Macaca fascicularis: one gene and its partner. The protein of the gene in region 1 purifies or fractionates together with the protein of each later gene. This does not show direct contact. Links are inferred from orthologs where the notes say so. Each region holds a gene or a part of one and is shown on either strand. Other genes may lie near its edges.

Region 1 (11,582 bases):
CTCTGCATAGTTGCAGAGATAAGTGAGTGTTAGTGTGCTTGACACTCTTCCTCTGAGGAAATAGCACCCATGGTTGCCACTTTGTGGCTACTGGAGCCTCACATGGCATTTGGAGGTGTGGCTCACTATCCCACCCCCGCCTGGGGCTCCAGGCTAACCCAGGCAAAACTGTAGGTGCTCTCTGACCCTCAGTGTGCTCCCTCTCGGCCCGCAGCCCCCGGTCCCTGAGAAGCGGCCCCCTGAAGTACAGCATTTCCGCATGAGTGACGATGTCCACTCACTGGGAAAGGTGACCTCAGGTCAGTCCTATACCCCACCCCCGGTGGCTTGATGTGGCCTGTTCTGAAGGTTTCAGTGATAGACCCCACACCATTCTCTCTCTTCTTCCAGATGTGGCCAAAAGGAGGAAGCTGAACTCAGGAGGTGGCCTGGTGAGCAGCAGAGGCAGAGCCTCTACCCCGGGGGGCTGCTCTGAGGGAGGCTCAGAAGTGGGTCTGCATCCCATCCTCAATAGAAATGGGCAGGGTGTCAGTGGCCTCAATTTTTCTGATCTTTTTCTAGTCGGAGGAGTTAGGTTCTGCCCGGCGTTCAGAAGTGACCCTGGCGAAAGGGGACTCCGGGTCCCTGGAGGAGTGGGAGACGGTGGTGGGTGATGACTTCAGTCTCTACTATGATTCCTACTCTGTGGATGAGCGCGTGGACTCCGACAGCAAGGTGAGGCAGAGCTGGTCCGCCCTCCCCGCCAGTGCTCCCCCAGGGCTGGGGTTTACTGTCCAGTCTTCCTTGTTCCCTGTTTTTCTCCTTTCTGTCCTTTTTACCTCTGAACATCCACTAAGTCATTGCCCCATGCTGTCTGTAACTCCTTTTTTTGGGAGGGGGAGACAGAGTCTTGCTCTGTCTCCCAGGCTGGAGTGCAATATCACAATCTGGGCTCACTGCAACCTCTGCCTCCAGGGTTAAAGCAATTCTCCTGCCTCAGCCTCCCAAGTCGCTGGGATTACAGGCGCCCACCACCACGCCCGGATAATTTTTGTATTTTTAGTAGAGACGGGGTTTCCCCTTGTGGGCCAGGCTGGTCTCTAACTCCTGACTTTAGTTGATCCACCCATCTCGGCCTCCCAAAGGGTTGGGATTACAGGCGTGAGCCACCGCACCCAACTGCAACTCATTTTCAATGTACGCTCTGCCCATTTCATCCACAAAGGTGGCCACCACCCTGCACATTGGATTTACGATTTTTTTTTTATCAGCTAATGAAATGATCATTAAACAAACATGTACTGTTTAAAAAAAGAAAACAAAAAAGGAAATGACCAGAGAGCACTTTTTTTAAACATACATTATACTGTTTATATAAAATTCAAAAGCATTCCATTGTCATTTATTTGCTTATTCGTTGCTCTTTGTCTGGTTTTATCTTATGTTTGCCTACACAGTAGAATGTTTAGTCTGTCTAGTTTTGCCTTTTATTTAACGTTTTATCATGAAAACTTGCAAGCATTATCAAAAGAGTAGAATAGGAAATCCCCGTGTACCCATCACACAGCTCCAGCCATTATCAGTACACAGCCCATCTTGACCCATCTGTACTTCTCCCAACACACACACGTACTAGGTTATTTTAAAGCAAGTCCCAGACCTTGTATCATTTTACGTAAATGTATTTCCATATATATATATAAAAATATAAGGCCTCTTTTTGTCGTTCAACATCACTACACTACTGTTTTCACACCTAAAAAAAATTACTGATTTCTTTTTTTTTTTTTTTTTTTTTTTTTGAGACGGAGTCTTGCTCTGTTGCCCAGGCTGGAGTGCAGGGGCCGGATCTCAGCTCACTGCAAGCTCCGCCTCCCGGGTTCAAGCCATTCTCCTGCCTCAGCCTCCCGAGTAGCTGGGACTACAGGCGCCTGCCACCTCGCCCGGCTAGTTTTTTGTATTTTTTAGTAGAGACGGGGTTTCACCGTTTTAGCCAGGATGGTCTCGATCTCCTGACCTCGTCATCTGCCCGTCTCGGCCTCCCAAAGTGCTGGGATTACAGGCTTGAGCCACCGCGCCTGGCCTACTGATTTCTTAATACCATCAAATATCCTGTCAGTCTTCACATTTCCTCAGCTCTCATAAATGGGTTTTTGTCAAGATCCAAATGAGGCCCGCACCTTGATTTGATTAACATTTGTCTTAGGTCGGCCGGGCGTGGTGACTCACGCCTGTAATCCCAGCACTTTGGGAGGCCGAGGCGGGCGGATCACATGAGGTCAGGAGTTCGAGACCAGCCTGACCAACATGGAGAAACCCCGTCTCTACTAAAAAAATACAAAATTAGCTGGGCGTGGTGGTGCATGCCTGTAATCCCAGCTACTCAGGAGGCTGAGGCAGGAGAATCACTTGAACCTGGAAGGCGGAGGTTGCAGTGAGCCAAGATCGTGCCATTGCACTCCAGCCTGGGCAACAAGAGCAAAATACCATCTCAAAAAAAAAAAAAATTTGTCTTAGGTCTCTCTTGGTATTTAGGTTTCCCCATCTTCTTTTTGTTTGTTTGTTTGTTTGTTTGTTTTTGTGTTTTGAGATGGAGTCTCACACTGTGGCCCAGGCTGGAGTGCAGTGGCACGATCTTGGCTCACTGCAAGCTCCGCCTCCTGAGTTCAAGCAATTCTCCTGTCTCAGTCTCCCAAGTAGCTGGAATTATAGGCACCCGCCACCACACCCAGCTCATTTTTCGTATTTTTAGTAGAGACAGGATTTCACTATGTTGGCCAGGCTGGTCTCAAACTCCTGATCTTGTGATCTGCCCACCTCAGCCTCCCAAAGCACTGGAATTACAAGCATGAGCCACCACACCTGCCTGGTTTCCCCATCTTCTAAAAAAAAAATTTCTGGCCAGGCGTGGTGGCTCACGCTTGTAATCCCAGCACTTTGGGAGGCAGGTGGGTCACCTGAGGTCAGGAGACCAGCCTGGCCAACATGGTGAAAACCCATCCCTAATAAAAATACAAAACTTAGCTGGGTGTGGTCGCAGGCACCTGTAATCCCAGCTACTTGGGAGGCTGAGGCAGGAGAATTGCTTGAACCCAGAGGTGGAGGTTGCAGTGAGCTGAGATCACACTATTGCACTGCAGCCTGGGCAACAAGAGCGAAACTCAATAAATAAATAAGAAAGACATTTTTTTCTTGCCATTTATTTGTCAAACCAGGTCAGTTGTATAGAATTTTTCACATTCTGTATGACGTTGGCTGTTTGGGTAGAGATTGACACATCCTCTCTGCCCATATTTCTTGTAAACTGGTAGATCTAGAGGCGTAATCGACTTCAGGTGCCAAGAAGACTTGACAGTGGGTGCAAGTGCTTCTGGCCACATCACATCAGGATGCATGGAACATCTCATATGGTCATTTTTCTTAGTGATAAGATTGACCAGTGGGTTCAGGTGATGGCAGCCTGAACATTTCATATAAAATTTCTCATGAGCTTCATGTCTAGTGTTTTTAGCAACCATTGGTGGTCTTGCCTGTTTATGAACATCATAAAAGGGGGATCAAACTATGTTTATCTTCTGGTACTTGTTTTTTGTTTTTTAATTTAATGTCACATTACCAAGATCTGTGTACATTGCTGTCTATAACTGTGGCACCTTTTTCACTACTGTGTAATAGTCCATGCACCCTCTCTTTATGTGGCCCTTTTTCTCCTCTCCTACCCACACTCATCTTCCCCAGCAGCCATCTGTGGGTAGTGGCGGGGGGCAATGGTGGTGGTGGTTTTTTTAATCTATCTCATTGTCTGAGTCCTGGGGATTGGATATGTCCTGTTCTGCCTCTCTCCCAGTCTGAAGTTGAAGCTCTAACTGAACAACTAAGTGAAGAGGAGGAGGAAGAAGAGGAGGAAGAAGAAGAGGAGGAAGAGGAGGAGGAAGAGGAAGAAGAAGAGGAAGATGAGGAGTCAGGGAATCAGTCAGATAGGGTAAGAGACGGAGGCTGATATCTCCAGAGGAGTGGGAGACTGTGGGGCTGGTGGTCTGGTCCTGAAGGTGTTGGGGGGCCCCCTTGGGGTGAGGGTTCGTAACTCCTCCTCCTCCCCCTTCCCAGAGTGGTTCCAGTGGCCGGCGCAAGGCCAAGAAGAAGTGGCGAAAAGACAGCCCATGGGTGAAGCCATCTCGGAAACGGCGCAAGCGGGAGCCTCCGCGGGCCAAGGAGCCACGAGGTAAGGAGGCTCTGCTGCTTTTGGGTGCCCTCCTCCAGCCCCCGCCCAGCCCCCAGAGTGTGTGCACGCACACACACGCTCTCGCATGTCCACCTGCATGTACCCACGCGTCCAGGCACCTGTGAGCTCGCACTCTCACTCTCTCTGTCTCTGTGTCAGGAGTGAATGGTGTGGGCTCCTCAGGCCCCAGTGAGTACATGGAGGTCCCTCTGGGGTCCCTGGAGCTGCCCAGCGAGGGGACCCTCTCCCCCAACCACGCTGGTAATTGCCAATTGCCGGGACAGGGAGCCACTAGGGGGCAACCTCAGGGCAGGAGGGAAAGGGAAGGAGGGGAACCACGCCAGAGCCGGGGTGTCCATGGCCAGGCTTTAGGGGTTCTGGGGCATGGGGGTGAGGTAGGGAGGGAGTGACAGGACCCGCCAGGGGTCCCAATGGGTGAAGTTCAGGGCCTCCCTCAGCTCCTCTTTTTCTCCGTCCAAGGGGTGTCCAATGACACATCTTCGCTGGAGACAGAGCGAGGGTTTGAGGAGTTGCCCCTGTGCAGCTGCCGCATGGAGGCACCCAAAATCGACCGTATCAGCGAGAGGGCGGGGCACAAGTGCATGGCCACCGAGAGTGTGGACGGAGAGGTGGGGCCGTGGGCTGGTGGGAGAGGTGCCAGGGCGTCCAGTCCCGGGCCCCAGCCTCACCCTTTCTTCTCACCCATCCTCACCACGCACAGCTGTCAGGCTGCAATGCCGCCATCCTCAAGCGGGAGACCATGAGGCCATCCAGCCGCGTGGCCCTGATGGTGCTCTGTGAGACCCACCGCGCCCGCATGGTCAAACACCACTGCTGCCCGGGCTGCGGCTACTTCTGCACGGCGGTGAGTGACCAGTGGGGCAGACAGGTAGAATGCCCCATGGCAGACGGGGCCCCGGCAACCTGACCATGTCGTTTCCCTGCTCCCAGGGCACCTTCCTGGAATGCCACCCTGACTTCCGTGTGGCCCACCGCTTCCACAAGGCCTGTGTGTCTCAGCTGAATGGGATGGTCTTCTGTCCCCACTGTGGGGAGGATGCTTCTGAAGCTCAAGAAGTGACCATCCCCCGGGGTGATGGGGTGACCCCACCGGCTGGTGCTGCAGCTCCTGCACCCCCACCCCTGTCCCAGGATGCCCCCGGGAGAGCAGACACTTCTCAGCCCAGGTACTGGCCTCCCCCTTCTCTACTGTCTGTTCCCTGCCCCATCACTATTGTTCCTGGACATGAGCTCCTTCTTCCACAGCGCCCGGATGCGAGGGCATGGGGAGCCCCGGCGCCCACCCTGCGATCCCCTGGCTGACACCATCGACAGCTCAGGGCCCTCCCTGACCCTGCCCAATGGGGGCTGCCTTTCAGCCGTGGGGCTGCCACTGGGGCCAGGCCGGGAGGCCTTGGAAAAGGCCCTGGTCATCCAGGAGTCAGAGAGGTGAGTGGGGAGTTGTTCAGGCACAGTAACTGGGGCTGAGGCCAGAGGAGCAGTGTCAAGACTGATGCTGGAATCTGAGGAGCTCCCCTTCTCTCCCCACTCCCGTGCTCCCTTGGCAGGCGGAAGAAGCTCCGTTTCCACCCTCGGCAGTTGTACCTGTCCGTGAAGCAGGGCGAGCTGCAGAAGGTGATCCTGATGCTGTGTGAGTGCCACCTATTCCTTCAGCAGACCTTGACCAAGTTCCATGTATATACCAGGCACTGGGCACAGGGCCAGGAGTAGTCATGAAGGATATAGTCCTTGCCCTGAAGGACTTAGTGTGGTGGGGAAAAGACACACATAACCCGTGACGATGGGAACGGTGGTGACTCATAGGTGCTGGGTCCTGTTCTGAGTGCTTATACTTGTTAGCCTTGGCTTGCACAGGGAGGTTAGGGACGTTGCACAGTGCACAGCGGTACTGAGAAGCAAGGCAGGGTTTGAATTCAGGCAGAGCTGATGCCTTTGACTCCTTATTCTGATAAATGCCGTGGTGGAGGCAAGCCCAGAGAATGCCAGGAGGGGCCCTGACCCAACTTGGGGCTCTGAGAAGCCTTCCTGAAAGAAGTGCCACCTGCCCCCTAGCTTGCTTACCACTTGTCCCTCCCTCTCCCGGTGTGGCGGGCTCTCCCCGCAGTGGACAACCTGGACCCCAACTTCCAGAGCGACCAGCAGAGCAAGCGCACGCCCCTGCATGCAGCCGCCCAGAAGGGCTCCGTGGAGATCTGCCATGTGCTGCTGCAGGTCAGCACGGGCCCGGCCCCATGCCTCATTCACCAGGCCCTTAGGCCCCTCCCCTGCCCCATGCCTCCCTGGTGCCAGCCCTCCTGCCCCCTCACAGGCTGGAGCCAACATAAACGCAGTGGACAAACAGCAGCGGACGCCACTGATGGAGGCCGTGGTGAACAACCACCTGGAGGTGGCCCGTTACATGGTGCAGCGTGGTGGCTGTGTCTATAGCAAGGTGTGCATGCAGGCAGCAGGGCGTGGCCCCGGAGTCAGGGACCAGGTTTGGGGTGCCAGCCGGAGACTCATTTGCCCATGTCTCCCTCAGGAGGAGGACGGCTCCACCTGCCTCCACCACGCAGCCAAAATCGGGAACTTGGAGATGGTCAGTCTGCTGCTGAGCACAGGACAGGTGGACGTCAACGCCCAGGTCAGTGGCCCACCCAGCGCAGCTCCTCCGGCTCCCTGGTGCCTGGGTTCCTTGGCTCGGCCTCAGACTTTGGGCCCCCTTTCTACATCTGACCTCTGGCCCTTTCACTCTGCCTCAGGCCGCTTGTGTCTGTCCCCCTTGCTTTCTTCCTCATTTGTATTTCTCTTCATTCTTTTCTTTTTCTTGTTTCTTTCTCTTGATCAAGCTTCAGAATAATCAGTTCCTGCCTTCATCTCTGAAAGTGTCCAGTGAGGCTTTTTTAACTCTCAGGTTGTCATACATTGGATGTGTTTTCGTCATTTATTGGGATTCTTCTCAGTCTTTGAATTATTCCATCATTATCTAGGAGAAGCCCCTTCAAGAGGCCTCTGTGGCCGTGACATGACCCAGTGGCCTTTGAGAGCGTCCTGACCTTTCAGCACATTTCCTGCCCCTGACTCAGCATCCACCATTTCTCTAAGAAACTCTGCTTCCTTTATGGGAAACTTTTTTTTTCTTTTCTTTTTTTTTTTTTTTGAGATGGAGTCTTGCTCTGTTGCCCAGGCTGGAGTGCAATTGCGTGATCTTGGCTCACTGCAACCTCCACCTCCTGGGTTCAAGTGATTCTCTTGCCTCAGCCTCCTGAGTAGCTGGGATTATAGGCACCAGCCACCGTGCCCAGCTAATTTTTGTATTTTTAGTAGAGATGGATTTTCACCATATTGGCCAGGCTGATCTTGAACTCCTGACCTCATGATCCACCCACCTCGGCCTCCCAGCGTGCTGGGATTACAGGCGTGATCTGGCCACTGCGCCGGCCAGAAACATGTTTTAGAGAATAGTCTATGGACCTCGGAGTGTTTATTATTACTGGGTGGTCACTGCTTCTAGGACTTGTGAATGGGCAGACTGAGGAAATTTTTGTTTGTTTTTTGTTTTAAGAGACAGAGTCTTGCTGTGTCACCCAGGCTGAAGTACAGTAGCAATTCACAGACAGTCATAGTTCACTGCATTCTCGAAATCCTGGGCTCAAGCGACACTCCCATCTCAGTCACATGAGTAGCTGGGACTACAGGCACGCGCCTCCATGACCAGCTCCTGGCTGTATTTTTTGGAAAGAGAACAATTACTCACTTTACTTTCTCTCCGGCATCAGGCAGTAGGCACTACTAGTCCCATTTTTTAGATGAAGAAACTATGACCCAGAGACGTTAAGTGACTTACCCCGGGTCCCACAGCTCGTGAATGGTGGAGCTGGGATTCACACACACAGCCAATCTTGACCATTTGCAGCTTTGGTGAGCAGGCCCAGCCGCCCCCACCCTCACTCCCTTCCCACCCACAGGACAGTGGGGGGTGGACGCCCATCATCTGGGCTGCAGAGCACAAGCACATCGAGGTGATCCGCATGCTACTGACGCGGGGCGCCGACGTCACCCTCACTGACAACGTGAGTGAGAGTTTGGTTGAGGTAGGGCAGCCCCAGGCCCCTGAGCAAGGTGGAGGCTGGATTCAAGGGCCCAGCTGCCTGCACCTCATCTGTTCCCCTCCTATCTCCACAGGAGGAGAACATCTGCCTGCACTGGGCCTCCTTCACGGGCAGCGCCGCCATCGCCGAAGTCCTTCTGAATGCGCGCTGCGACCTCCATGCTGTCAACTACCATGGGGACACCCCCCTGCACATCGCAGCCCGGGAGAGCTACCATGACTGCGTGCTGTGAGCCCCTGCCCCGCCCTTGATGCCCCTGCCCCCACTTCTTGCAGCCTCAGACCCCACATTGGGCACCTTGTCCCCTCTTCAGGTTATTCCTGTCACGTGGGGCCAACCCTGAGCTGCGGAACAAGGAGGGGGACACAGCATGGGACCTGACTCCCGAGCGCTCCGACGTGTGGTTTGCGCTTCAGCTCAACCGCAAGCTCCGACTCGGGGTGGGAAATCGGGCCATCCGCACGGAGAAGATCATCTGCCGGTGAGCCCTGGGCCCCTCTCTGCACCCAAGGCCACCTCCCCACCCACCCTCCCCAGGCTCCGTTGCATCCTCACAACATTCCCCAACCCCTCCCCATGTACCACTGAATCCCCAGAACCACCCACAGGCCCCCTCCCCACTGGGGTTGCCAGATACAGCAAGTAAAAATAGAAGATATCCCGTTAAACTGGAATTTCAGATGCACAGATGCATACTTTTTTAGTGCGAGAATGTCCTGTGTAATTTTTGGGACATAGTGTACTAAAAAGCTATTTCTTGTTTATCAAAAATTCCACGTTAACTGGCTGTCCTGCATCTTACCTGCCAACCTTACTCCCCTGCCCCCAGCCCCAGGAACCTCCCCAACTGTCTCCCTGTACCTGGAGTAGCTCCTCACCCAGTTCCAGCCTGCCATCACCTTCTCCCCGTCTTCTGCAGGGACGTGGCTCGGGGCTATGAGAACGTGCCCATTCCCTGTGTCAATGGCGTGGACGGGGAGTCCTGCCCCGAGGATTACAAGTATATCTCAGAGAACTGTGAGACGTCCACCATGAACATTGACCGCAACATCACCCACCTGCAGGTGAGTACGGGGCCGGGGCCTCCCCAAAAGGACACCGAGAGCTGCCGAGTACAGTTAGACAAGCTTCAAACCAACAAAGGCACCTGGCCTAGGAAGGGTTGGCTGAAAGGGAGCCCTGGTGTGGGGTCGCATCCACCCCAGGGGAGGGAACCTTTTCCTGGGTCACAGAAAGGTGTCATATGAACTCCCAGTAGCCGTGGGGACATCACCATGAGCAACATACTGATTCCCCATCACCCTCGGACCATCGCCACCCACTGTTGTAACACATGGACCCCAAAGAGAGGACAGTGGTTAGGGGGTCGGGGCACCGAGAGTAGAGGAACCCAGACCTATCGTGGGGTTGAGCTGACCCCTGCCTCCTCGCCCCAGCACTGCACGTGTGTGGACGACTGCTCCAGCTCCAACTGCCTGTGCGGCCAGCTCAGCATCCGGTGCTGGTATGACAAGGTGCGTGCCCCTTGCCTTGGCCACAGACACCCGGCCCCTCCTTCAGAGGAGCCAGCCTCCAACAGGCCAGCTCCCTGGGACCTTGTCCTTCACCTACCCTGTGGGGGAAGTGACTGAGAGGACGGGGCAAGGCCTGGGAATCCTGGGACATGGCTGTGTGCCCAGGTCTATGCAAATCAGGGATGATGCTCCTGCATTTCCTGCTCTTGGATCTCAGAGCCTGTGTGACCTCCCCAACCCCATCTTCTCTGTCTCTGGGTTGGGTTCAGCAGTGGATTTTTCTGTAGAGTCTTGGGGTTCCTGGGCGGGCAGCTGAGGTGGCCCCCAAGGTGAAACCACTGTGTTCCCCTCCGCACCCTAGGATGGGCGATTGCTCCAGGAATTTAACAAGATTGAGCCCCCGCTGATTTTCGAGTGTAACCAGGCGTGCTCCTGCTGGAGAAACTGCAAGAACCGGGTCGTACAGAGTGGTATCAAGTGAGGCCCTGCTCCACAGCCCACCCTCTCCCCACCTCACCCTTTCCTCCCTGCCCCTGGGGCTTTTCCAGGGCCTCCACCCAACAGCGCCCTCTCTCCTACTCCCAGGGTGCGACTACAGCTCTACCGAACAGCCAAAATGGGCTGGGGGGTCCGCGCCCTGCAGACCATCCCACAGGGGACCTTCATCTGCGAGTAAGTCACCAGGAGCACCTTGACACCTGGTGGGAAGAAGATACATGGCCACTGCTGACTGCTAGGCCTCCCTCTCATCCCCCTGCCCTGAGGAGTCACATGTCTCCATCTGGCCACTCTCTAGCCAGCCTCCTCTGACCCCTATTCCTGCAGTTGAGCAGCCAGCCTCCTCTGACCCCCATCCCCGCAGCTGAGAATGGCACCTGCCTCCACTCTGCCCAGACCACAGGTCTTCCCTCCCTCCACCTCCACCCTCTACCTTCCCCTCTACCCCCTCCTCGCCCTTCCTAGCTGGAGAAAGTGCCAGTTTGGGAGACAAACAGACTTGGGTTTGAGCCCCTTTCTGCTTCTGGATGTCCTTGGCCAAGTTTCTCAACTTCTGTGAGCCTTATTTTTCTTGTCTGTAGAGTGGAGGTGGTAACAGCTACCTTTCTGTCCACCTCCTCAGGGGCCTGTCCCTTTCCATCAGTTAGCTGCCCAGCATCTGTAATCCCCCCCTTTCTCTTGGCTCCCATCTCATGACCCTCAGTCTTACCTTGGTCTCCTTTGGCCTTTATTTTTTATTTTATTTTATTTATTTATTTATTTTTTTTTTTATTTATTTTTTTTTTTTTGAGACGGAGTCTCACGCTGTTGCCCAGGCTGGAGTGCAATGGCGCGATCTCGGCTCACTGCAAGCTCCGCCTCCCGGGTTCCCGCCATTCTCCTGCCTCAGCCTCCTGAGTAGCTGGGACTACAGGCGCCCGCCACCGCGCCCGGCTAATTTTTTGTATTTTTAGTAGAGACGGGGTTTCACTGTGGTCTCGATCTCCTGACCTTGTGATCCGCCCGCCTCGGCCTCCCAAAGTGCTGGGATTACAGGCTTGAGCCACCGCGCCCGGCCTATTTTATTTATTTTTTGAGACGGAGTTTCACTCTTGTTGCCCAAGCTGGAGTGCAGTGGCACAATCTTGACTCACTGCAGTCTCCACCTCCCCAGTTTCCAGCGATTCTTCTGCCTCAGCCTCCCAAGTAGCTGGGATTACAGGCACGTGCCACCACACCTGGCTAATTTTTTGTATTTTTAGTAGAAACGGGGTTTCA
Region 2 (11,582 bases), on another chromosome or scaffold:
TAATTTTCCTTTAATCTTTCAAGCAAGCCCCATAAGGCTGACATTGTTATCCCTATACTACATGTAAGAAGAAGATGCTCAAAAATTTGATTTTCTCAGAAGCACACAATTACTAAGTTCTAGAGCTATAACTAAAATTCAGATTTGACTTCAAAACTGTTTCCCCTACCTTGTTTCTATAAAAACTCAATTTCGTAAATCTTTTTTTTTTTTTTTTTTTTTGAGACGGAGTCTCGCTCTGTCACCCAGGCTGGAGTGCAGTGGCTGGATCTCAGCTCACTGCAAGCTCTGCCTCCCGGGTTTACACCATTCTCCTGTCTCAGCCTCCGGAGTAGCTGGGACTACAGGCGCCTGCCACCTCGCCCGGCTAGTTTTTTGTATTTCTTAGTAGAGACGGGGTTTGACAGTATTAGCCAGGATGGTCTCGATCTCCTGACCTCGTGATCCGCCCGTCTCGGCCTCCCAAAGTACTGGGATTACAGGCTTGAGCCACCGCGCCCGGCCAATTTCGTAAATCTTTAAAAACAAAAAAAATGAATCTCTGAACCTTGACAATTATTTACAACAACAAAATCACACTGAAAGAAAACAATCTGCATTTACTCTGGCCTGCTTTATTACATAATTTTTTTTCTGAGAAAGGTGTGGTTAATTAATACCCTTTCTGAGTAAGGTATGGGTAATTAATACCCTCCAGCAATGAAGGTGTTCTACCTCTTAGCTTTTGTTCTTGCATTTAAAAAAAAGCACTGAATGCTTAATCAAATACTCTACTGAACACTCCAGATTAAAAAAACAACATATGTTGAAGATACATAAACTTGAATATGTAGTGGGACAGCAATTTAAAAGGACTCCCATGGTTTCTAGCTTTTTTCATCTTAATTTCTGCTTACTGCAGGAATCAGATTAAAAACAGGATGAAAGAACCATTGCCCAAATGGGCCACACAAATAAACTTTTGTGATTCTTGTTTTCTGTCTTGAGTTCCATCATTTGCTCAAATTAACACATACCGCACACTGGGCTAATCTTGTCTCTCAACAAAAATAACATTATTTCTTTTATATAAATGATTTGTTTTAACCAGTTCTACATAAAAAATTTTTTTGAAGACATGGGGTCTCACTAGGTTGCCCAGCCGGGTCTCAAACTCCTGGGCTGAAGTGATTCCGCCTACCTCAGCCTCCCAAGCTGGGACAACAAAGGAAAACATCATTGCAACCAGCTAATTCTACATAACATTTTGACAGATTTTCCTAAGAGCTCAGTTCTTTTACAATAACTTAAAATTCTTTAACTTAACTGTATGATTAATTATATGCTATATATTTTATAATTAAAAACTAATCTCAATATATTATCTTTAAATTCATTTCAGAAATTAAGTTGTATATAGTTATGAAGAAGCCAAATCTGTTTCTTCACACAATAAGCTTACCAGTTATAAATGTCAACATTAAATCCAATCATTTGGAGAGTTTTCCTTTTATAAAGTAATACAGAATGAAAAACTTACAAACTACTAAACAAAATTTACTTAACAAATATCAAAGCCTCCACAATTGCTTTCCATAATATTGAAAAATATATATATGATACTTTTTACAGGGCAACAAATGCCTAATTCAGCACTACTTCAGGACTAAATCAGAAATGTGGATTTTTGTTTTATTTTTTGTTTTGTTTTATAAAATGAGACAGGGGGCCAGGCATGGTGGCTCAAGCCTGTAATCCCACCACTTTGGGAGGCTGAGACAAGCAGATCACGAGGGCAGGACATGGAGGCCATCCTGGCTAACATGGTGAAACCCCGTCTCTACTAAAAAAACACAAAAAACTAGCCGGGAGTGGTGGCGGGCGCCCATAGTCCCAGCTACTCGGGAGGCTGAGGCAGGAGAATGGCATAAACCCGGGAGGCAGAGCTTGCAGTGAGCTGAGATCCGGCCACTGCACTTCAGCCTGGGTGACAGAGCGAGACTCCGTCTCAAAAAAAAAAAAGAGACAGGGTCCCGCAATGCTGCCCAGGCTGGTCTCAAACTCCTGGGCTCAAGCGATCTGCCTGCCTCAGCCTCCCAAAGTGCTGGGATTACAGGCGTGAGCCACCACACCCGGCCAGAAATGTAGATTTCTAATCTTATTTTGAGTGCCAACTTCCTCAACAAAATCCAATCCTTTAAATTCATTTTATTTTATAAAAAGATAAATATATCTCTAACCTAGATGTGTTAAGGAATCTGAACATTTACCAAACATTTAAATGTCATAAAAGGGCTTACATCGATTTTATCAATATACATAGTTAGTAAAAAATAATTACACTAGGCTTTTAAAAAAATATTAATTTATCTAAATTTTGGGAAAATATTGTTCTAACTACCTTTTTCCAGTCTTCTGATGGAATGTAATCTTCATCTTCTTCAGATTCTTCTTCTACTTCACTGTCTAGAATAAATAAGACACCAATACTATAAAATGACTGCTTAAGCTGTCTACATCTACAAATTATTTTTACATCTACCATCAAATATTTGGATATGCTCAAAAATATCTAATGAATTAAGCCAAGATATTTCTAACCAAATAATTAACACCCTATCACTTAAAAAAACAAAACCAAAAAAACCATTAACTTTCTACGTAACTGTATTCTCATGAAATGATTTCCTATAAAAACTTTTGGGAAAAAACAGATTTAGAATAAAGATAATATTACCTTACTACATATTTCATGACAGTTTATTTTTCTTCAAGTGTTTTTCTTCTTTTTAAACTAGAGAAATTTAGGTGTATTTATCAATATACCTAAAAAAGGCTAAGAGGCAAAGAAAGTAAAACATGGAAACTAAGGGAAAGCCTATGAGAAATAAAAAGACCATGAAACAAACATTTAAAAACAGGGCAAGGAAAAAACAAATACAACTGAAGTCAAGCAGTACATGACACAATTACCGTAGTATATTCACTAACAACAGGGACCGTGCATTACTAAACTAATAACTTACAATAAAAATCCATTTACTGTTGAAAAGAATTTCAGACTAAATGAATTTAAAGACCAGTTTAAAAAATGAGGATTTTAGGTAATACCTAAAATAGTAAAAATTATATTCAAATATTATCAACCAGTAACACTTACTTGTATCAAAATATTTACATCGACGTGGGCGGATAATTTCCTGGGCATCTTGAGAAGCAACAGATTGTGATGGATCATCATTGGAAGACTGAGTTTCATCCTCCTGACCTGATGAATCCTTTATATTCTCCTCCTGAGGAATAATAAATTTAATTTCTTTAAGATGTAAAGAAAATGGTTGCAGATGAAAGGCCATAGCATATAAATGTTGTTCTAATATAAGCAGAAGACTAAAATGAATATACTAGATGTAATATCGTATTCTGGGTTGGATCCTGCAACAGGAAAAAGTACATTAGCAGAAAAACTGGTATAATTCAATCTGCAGTTACTAGCACCGTACCAAGATGTTAACCTCAGCAGAAGCGGATCATATAGGAACTTTCTATACTAACTTTAAAAGTTTTATAAATCTAAAATTATTTCAAAATAAAGAAAAATAAACACAAACTGCCAATTAGCCTTCATTATTTAAAAGCAATAGCATTTTTTTGAAAGTTGGTATAAATGGCCAGGTGTGGTGGCTCACGCCTGTAATCCCAGCACTTTGGGAGGCCAAGGCGGTTCATGAGGTCAGGAGATCGAGACCATCCTGGCTAACGTGGTGAAACCTTGTCTCTACTAAAAATACAAAAACTTAGCCAGGCGTAGTGGTGGGCGCCTGTAGTCCCAGCTACTTGGGAGGCTGAGGCAGGAGAATGGCGTGAACCTGGGAGGCAGAGCTTGCAGTGAGCCAAGATAGCGCCACTGCACTCCAGCCTGGGTGACAGAGTGAGACTCCATCTCCAAAAAAACCACACAAACAAAAAAAGAAAGTTGGTATAAATAAATTAGAATAAGCACTGGAAAAAAAAGAAACCTGAAACGAGAAGACCAAACTGTTACCTCTCAGGAGCAGATTACAGGGGATTTCCAATTTTTATGTTATGTATTTCTGTAATATCTTAATGTTTAACACTTTTAAAATCAGGAAAAGTAAAGATTATAAAAACAAGTAATCAAAATGTATTAAGAAATTTTAACTTCAACAAGAATAAAGACTACAATCTTAAATATATGTATGTACACTTACTTTATTTTCCCCACTACAGCCACTGTTGTCATCATTATCAGCATCTTCATCATCTTCACCTTCTTCTTCCTCTTCCTCCTCTTCCTCATCTTCTTCAGGTAGTCGAACAGTACTACCATAACCATAAAGGCTGAGAAGTTCATGAATTGGCATGTCACCTTCCTAAATAAATAAAAATAAAAGTTAATTTCTGAATCAGTGATATTTCTGATTCCCAGGCTATAATCCACAAATCTGTGGAGTATTCATTCTATACTGAAGAATAAAAGCTGTATCATGAATTCTCAGATCATAAAAAAGTAAAATTGAAAATATTTCTGAAACCCATGAATATCCCAATCTTTTTAGTATTTCTATAAAATTAACCAATTCCAATTGCTGACAAGATTTTTAAGTATAATTAAAAAGTAGCCTTGGTCTAACATGGACTATTCTTTTTGCAATCAATTCAATATATGCACAATGACAGTTAACGCTATGCATGGATGCCCACTCTTAATAAGAGTACCATACTTGAGGGTGGAGAAATAGAACAACGAGAATTAGACTATAAGTTAAGTTAACAAACCCAGAAAGGCAGATGAAATTCAGAGCATCCAGAGCTCAGCCCGAACACATGAAAAAACAAAACAAAACAAAACAAAAACCAGTAGTAATATACAGAAATGATAATGGACTACATTAACCATATATTCTTTTCTATGGTTATCTCCATTTACACATAAAATTATCTCATGCAATCCTTACCATCTATCATACCGACTTGTTATATTATTTCCATTTCATAGATGAGAAAACATAGGCTGACAGCTTAAGCATTTCTTCAGAAATCACACAAGTTACAAGGAGTAGAGCCAGATTTAAACAGTCTAACTCCAAAAGCCCATATTCATATCAATACACCACGGTGCCTTGGCCAGGGACTTCCCTCAATCCCCACAAAAATCAGACCCTCTGTGGATGCAAAAGAAATGTCCATATGCAATGAAATGAGATCAGCTTTCTATACAAACTACTCACTCTAACCAGTAAACAAGAAAACAAGAAATGCACAGCATCAGGGAAACGTTAACAGAATTCTGATTATAAAAAGAAAATTTAATCCAAATCATGTGAACACATTATACACTCATGCACACCCACATACAATGCACATGGTCTGAAGCAAAACACTCAAAAAATCATCAGTTTAGAAGCTAGAAAAAAAGGGTAATCATGAATAAGACATGGTTCATATTTCTCCAGCAGTCATGGAAAGAAAGAAATAAGTCTAGCTAGTGTGTTAAACACATTGCTACAATGGGTATGGGTAAATCAGACTGGATTAGATGACACAATTAACCTCCATCACTCAAAATCCATGTGAGAAAAAATTAATGATTATAATTTGAAAAGATTTTCTTATGAAGAACTAGGAAGAAGGCATCATCCAAAACTTCTATCTCACATTACAAATGGATATTCTGGTTATGAATGTTTGTGAATCTATTTCTGAAAGATAAATCAATTCCAAGACCCCTAATGATTTGCAGAAGCTACAACCTGAAAAAGTGGTAACTTTATCAAGGCAAGATATTGCCACTCTAGCTAAATAAGCCGCTGGCAAACAACTGATAGCTCTTATACTGTGTTTCTCAAAGTACAACACCAACAGTGCTTTAAGTGTTCAAGTATCTGGTCCATGTACCAAGGATCTGGTACAGGACATTGGTTATTTGGGAATGTGGGAAGTCAGTCCTTAGGAACTAAAACAAAACTTCGAAATAAGAGACAGAAGTGTAATAAGAGAAATGTAATGAAAAGGCTAGATTTATTTTTTTGAGACAGAATCTTGCTCTGTCACCCAGGCTGGAGTGCAGTGGCATGATCATGGCTCACTGCAGCCTCAACCCACTGGGTTCAAATGATCCTCCCACCTCAGCCTCCCAAGTAGCTGGGACTATACATGTGCACCACCATGCCTGGTTAATTTTTGTATTTTTCATAGAGAAGGGTTTCACTATGTTGCCCAGGCTGGTCTCAAACACTTGGGTGCAAGCGATTTGCCCACCTTGGCTTCCCAAAATGTAGGATTGGAAACGTGAGCCACCGTGCCCAGCATAAAGCTAGTTTTATACACAAGAATAAAAAATAGCTGCCATAAAGTGTCTTCTATGTGTCAGGCATTTGTGATAGGTGCTTTGATTTCATTGTCTTTTTTTCTTGCAACAATGAAAGCAGTGTCAAAACACACAATTCCATTAAATCTGCACTGATAGAGACTTTATTATAATACCCAGACCTCCTAATCTCAGGTCATTTAACTTTGCTTAGGCTCACACCCTGCACCCCAAAATCAGAAGCAAGTTTAGCAACTGATCACTATTGTGAAGAAAAGCCACTGAAGTCACTAGTATGAATAAGGGCCCCAAAAAGATAAAACATAAGCGTAACAGTTTGCAACTAAAATTTACATAGGCCTTAAGAGTTCATGAAAAACTTGTTTCATTATTTGATCCTCAAAACTATCCTGTTACTACTACCTTTAATTTTTATAACTGTGTTATAACTAATCCTTTGAAACCACACAGCTAATTACACAGCCGTGCTCTATTTTGAACTCATCTTCTGACAAGATCATGGTACTTGGTTCACTCCAAAAAAAGAGGTGTATAATCAACCAAATAAATGCCCTCAGGCTCTCTACCATTGGTCTGTCTTAAGGGCATCCGAATTACCTTGAGGGTTTACTAAAACGGGCTGCTGAGCCTCACCCAAGTTTCTGACCTAGTAAGTCTCCAGTGACGCCTGAGAACCTACAATTAAAAAAAGAAAAAAAAAAAATCTCAGGTGATGCTAATGCTGCTGGTATGAGACCACCTTGGAAACCACCAATCTCACAGGTCTGGATGAGATACCTGCAAATCACCTTATCCAATGGGAGGTAATAAAGCTTGAACATTAACTTTAATAAAGCTTATCATATGACATGATATCCAGCTCAAATATTTGTCAAAAGGATAGGTGACATACTAACTACATGGAGAAAAAATTTTTCTTTTTTAACCATTATCAAGAATGTAGAATGTCTGACAATCATAGTTAGATTAAGGTTTTTCCCTCTTGGATATACAGATGAGAAGTGTGACTCACTTTATAAAAATTCATTTCTCAGGCCAAGCGCAGTGTCTCACGCCTGTAATCCCAGCACTTTGGGAGGCTGAGGTTGGCAGAACACTTAAGGTCAGGAGTTCAAGACCAGCCTGGTCAACAAGGCAAAACCCCAACTCCACTAAAAATACAAAACAATCAGCCACAGGCATGGTGGTGCACACCTGTACTCTCAGCTACTCAGGAGGCTGAGGCAGGATAATTGCTTGAACCCAGGAAGCAGAGGTTGCAGTGAGATGAGATCATGCCACTGCACTCCAGCCTGGGTGACAGAGTGAGACTGTCTCAAGAAAAAAAAAGGAAAAAGGAAAAAGAAAAAAATTCATTTCTCAAAGAAAAATTCTCCAACACCTCCAATATTGACTAAGCAGAGAACAGAGAGTCAAAAGTGGCCTGATCACAGTGCATTTAGAGGGGGAATGCTTGAATTACAATCGTAATAGAACTGGCACAGATGGAGAAAAATCATTCAAGTCACAGCAAATGACAAATGCACAGGTACAGAAACAAAAATGAATAATCCAGTCACCCTGATTAGAGCAGACATACCATTTATAGTAACTAAAAAAAAAAAAAGTATCATTTCAGAAGGCTACACATTACTGAAAGATCAGTTACAGATTAATGAAAGTGAGGATTACTATTTTTAACTACTTTCTCTAGTTCTATGTAATTTTTAAAGGGATCTGTTATATTCCTGACTCAATTTGAGCATACTGAATGGTTACTAACACTATGGAAGTATTTAGGGGAAATTACACACACAATAAAACACTCAACATGAACTTAGGCAGGGGAAGATTTAGTTTGCTTGCCAAGTAGACTGAGCCAAGTGGGAATCCACTGCTATCATTCACTACACATTCACCTGTATTATGATCAGAAACTAAATGAAATTAGTGGTTGTGGAAAAGAAAAAATTTAAGAGACGAAACAGGATTCAACCAGGGATTAGGAGAGATGGAGGTCCTGGTGATGCTGAATCCCTGGTTCCATATATTCCTTGTACCCAACTACACATTCATATACCTTCTAATAGTTTATTTTTACACAAGGTTATTTTTAGATGGGTTTTATCAAATGTAAACAAAATATCCTTACTTACTCAATCAACAAAATGCTTACTTATGCTGGGCGCAGTGGCTCACACCCGTAATCGCAGTACTTTGGGAGACCGAGGGGGCAGATCACTTGAGGTCAAGAGTTCAAGACTGGACTGGCCAACATGGTGGAACCCCACCTCTATTAAAAATACAAAAACTAGCCAGGCATGGTGGTGCTGGCATGTAATCCCAGCTACTCAGGAGGCTGAGGCAACTGCTTGAACCCAGGAGGCAGAGGCTGCAGTGAGCCGAGACTGTGTCACTGCACTCCAGCCTGGGCGACAGAGTAAGACCCTGTCTCAAGAAAATTTAAAAAAAAAAGAAAAAAAAATGCTTACTTAATAGTATTAAACTTGTAACTCAGCTGTCACCCAATATCAGGTGAGTAATATCAGTTTAGTAAGCAACAAAGAAAAAATCATCACCACCAAAAATACAACTTGAAGCATGACAGCATAAAAAGTCTCTTATTTAATCTAAGGTAAAAGTGAAAATCTTGCAGCAAACTCTGGGCTACACCTACGATAAAAACCAGAATCAATTTTGCTGAGGAATCCTGTTTCAAATTGCAATAGCATGTATTTGTGTTCCTGCTTTGTGCTAACTGAAGTACTTAAAGATTTAGCAAGCATAAACAAGCATCACATAAGGATTATTTATTTCCCCTGCAAGCCTCTCCTACTCTCTTCTACTTCTGTACTTTGAAATGTTCTTTCTTCCATTCCAAACATTTATTTTCCTTGAAAGTTCACCTCCTGGACCACAGCAGCTGACATAATTGGAATCACTGTATTCTCTGGCCATATATTTGGAGTGGGCACATGACCCACGCTTGTCCATACTTTGTTTCTGGATTTTTATCAACAGCAACTTAAGAAAGAAGCACAGACTATCTCAAGAAGTAAATGTGGGAGACCTACAAACTGACAGCATCATATGAAGAAAGTTGGTCTGAAAAGAGAAGTCAGGTGAGTCAGGTGGGACGTGGTGGCTCACGCCTGTAATCTTAGCACTTTGGGAGGCCAAGGTAGGCAGATCACTTGAGCTCAGGAGTTCGAGACCAGACTGGGCAACATGGCGAAACACTGTCCCTACAAAAAATACAACAAGAATTAGCTGGGTGTGGTGGTGCATGCTCATAGTCCCAGCTACTAGGGGGGCTGAGGCAGGAGGATGGCTTCATCCAGGGAGGTCGAGGCTGCAGTGAGCCGAGGCTGCAGTGAGCCAAGACTGCACTGCTGCACTCCAGCCTGAGTGACAAAGTGAGACACTGTCTCAAAAACAAAAAGAGGTAAACCATGTAGACAAGCAGAAATAGAGAAAATAAATTCTGGTGGCACTTGAGTCCCTGGGGAGCAGATATATCCCTCCTTTAATGAAATTCCATGAGACTTACATGAAATTCTTCATTTTGTCTAACCTAGTTTGAGGTTAGACTGTGTGTAATCTAGTTACAGACAGATTTCTGTCTCTGCACCCCCAAATTCCGATGCTATAAACAGTAATGATATGGTGTAACACAAATATTCTGTTATTTCCCTCTGAAAAAAAGACTTAAGGATGAATAAAACTTGGCCAAAAGTAGTACACTATTATACCAGGGCCTGTCAGCCGCCTGTTCCAGAGAATTTCTCATTAGTTTATATTACCAAAGGCTACATTCTACCAGTTACTCAAGGGCTTACTTCAATTTAAATTGAAACATCACAATAAAGTGGCACAGTGTTTTAATCCCATTCACGTAAGTGTTAAAAGAGTATAAAAAGGGGAGAACAGAGTGTAAGAGAAAATTATGTGTAAAGTTGTAAATTTTCAGTTATAGGTCAGGGACTTTTTTGAATCTTATGAATGACATTAACTACTAAGATTTATTTTGTGTTTATTATGTGCCAAATATTATGTTAAGTGCTTTAGATATATTATTCTTGTAATAACATCTGAAGTTTAACAATCTTAAGTAACCTATCCTAAGTCACAAACTGAAATAAGAAGTAGAGCTGGATTGCGAACCTGGGCAGTTTAACTCACTGCTTTACACTGCCCTTCTGTACATATGCGTATATACTGCCTTCTTCAAAATCTAACATCAGGTTAAATATACAGCATCCTGTTATAATGTGAACTAAGAGGGCTGATAATCTGTGAGAAATAAGGAAAGTGAGCATAGTACATGATAAATAAAAATACTGGAATGTAGCCAGGCACAGTGGCATGCACTTGCAGTCCTAACTACTCAGGAGGCTGAAGCGAGAGGAAGGCATGAACCCAGGAGTTTGAGGGTGCTTGAGTTATGACTGCACCACTGCACTCCAGCCAGCATGACAGAACGACACCCTGTCTCTAAAAAATTAAATTAAAAAAAAAAACAAAAACAGGAATACACACTGTATTTGCAGATTGTACTTTAAGAAATGAGTTGTTTTACACTGTAACAAAAGGAGGGGCAATCATGTCTGCATAAGCTAAAGGAAGGCTGGCTGAAGGTGGGAGAAATTGAATTTTTAAAAGATAAACTGACCAGGCTCGGTGGCTCACGCCTATAATCCCAGCACTTTGGGAGGCCAAAGTGGGAGGACTGCTTGCACACAGGAGTTCAAGACCAGCCTGGGCAACAGAGCAAGAACCCATCTCTACAAAAAATAAAAAATTAGCCGGGCATAGTAGTGTGCCTACAGTCTCAGCTATGCAGGTGGTGAGGCAGGTGGATCGCATGAGCCTGGGAGGGTGACAGAGTAAGACCCTGTATCAAAAAGGATAAACACCATATACTATATCTCAAGTTAAGTCTGCTCTAATTTCAAGACAATAGGGTAAAGTTATCAAACACCAACATATTATAAGGTTGGAGTGGCATCCAACTCCTAGCTGCAGAAGAGGTGCTAGTTCCTAGCTCCTTCTCCCTCACATCAGGAGGTTAGTCATTAAGAAATGGCAGATGCTGACCTTCAAGTCAGGGCCATTTGATGGATGGAGATAGTACTCTTCTTACACCTGTTGTACCAAAACTGACTTACCAATAAAATGCTAATGAAGATAGGAAGAAGAGGCTGATTTCCAGCCAAAAAGGCCTAAGGGACCACATCCAGACTGAACTAGAGAGATGGTTCCTAAGGTAACC

Evidence for each region.
Region 2: the proteins of EHMT2 (region 1) and MIER1 purify together in Homo sapiens (co-immunoprecipitation; 3 studies listed by BioGRID and IntAct, with this or other methods). This does not show direct contact. The link is inferred for Macaca fascicularis from reciprocal best matches to the Homo sapiens genes EHMT2 and MIER1.

Annotation. Positions count from the first base shown.
Region 1 is NC_088378.1:139,817,731-139,829,312, forward strand, and holds part of EHMT2 (histone-lysine N-methyltransferase EHMT2), read left to right. Parts: intron 1-214; coding exon 215-299; intron 300-390; coding exon 391-431; intron 432-561; coding exon 562-714; intron 715-3,826; coding exon 3,827-3,961; intron 3,962-4,086; coding exon 4,087-4,201; intron 4,202-4,360; coding exon 4,361-4,462; intron 4,463-4,681; coding exon 4,682-4,830; intron 4,831-4,922; coding exon 4,923-5,066; intron 5,067-5,152; coding exon 5,153-5,388; intron 5,389-5,467; coding exon 5,468-5,650; intron 5,651-5,769; coding exon 5,770-5,852; intron 5,853-6,326; coding exon 6,327-6,433; intron 6,434-6,530; coding exon 6,531-6,653; intron 6,654-6,743; coding exon 6,744-6,845; intron 6,846-7,668; exon of another isoform or gene 7,669-7,926; intron 7,927-8,048; exon of another isoform or gene 8,049-8,169; coding exon 8,170-8,295; intron 8,296-8,386; coding exon 8,387-8,541; intron 8,542-8,626; coding exon 8,627-8,794; intron 8,795-9,232; coding exon 9,233-9,377; intron 9,378-9,749; and 6 more. UniProt on the Homo sapiens protein: Histone methyltransferase that specifically mono- and dimethylates 'Lys-9' of histone H3 (H3K9me1 and H3K9me2, respectively) in euchromatin.
Region 2 is NC_088375.1:167,723,063-167,734,644, forward strand, and holds part of MIER1 (mesoderm induction early response protein 1), read right to left. Parts: intron 4,374-11,582; coding exon 4,212-4,373; intron 3,273-4,211; coding exon 3,140-3,272; intron 2,446-3,139; coding exon 2,381-2,445; intron 1-2,380. UniProt on the Homo sapiens protein: Transcriptional repressor regulating the expression of a number of genes including SP1 target genes. Probably functions through recruitment of HDAC1 a histone deacetylase involved in chromatin silencing.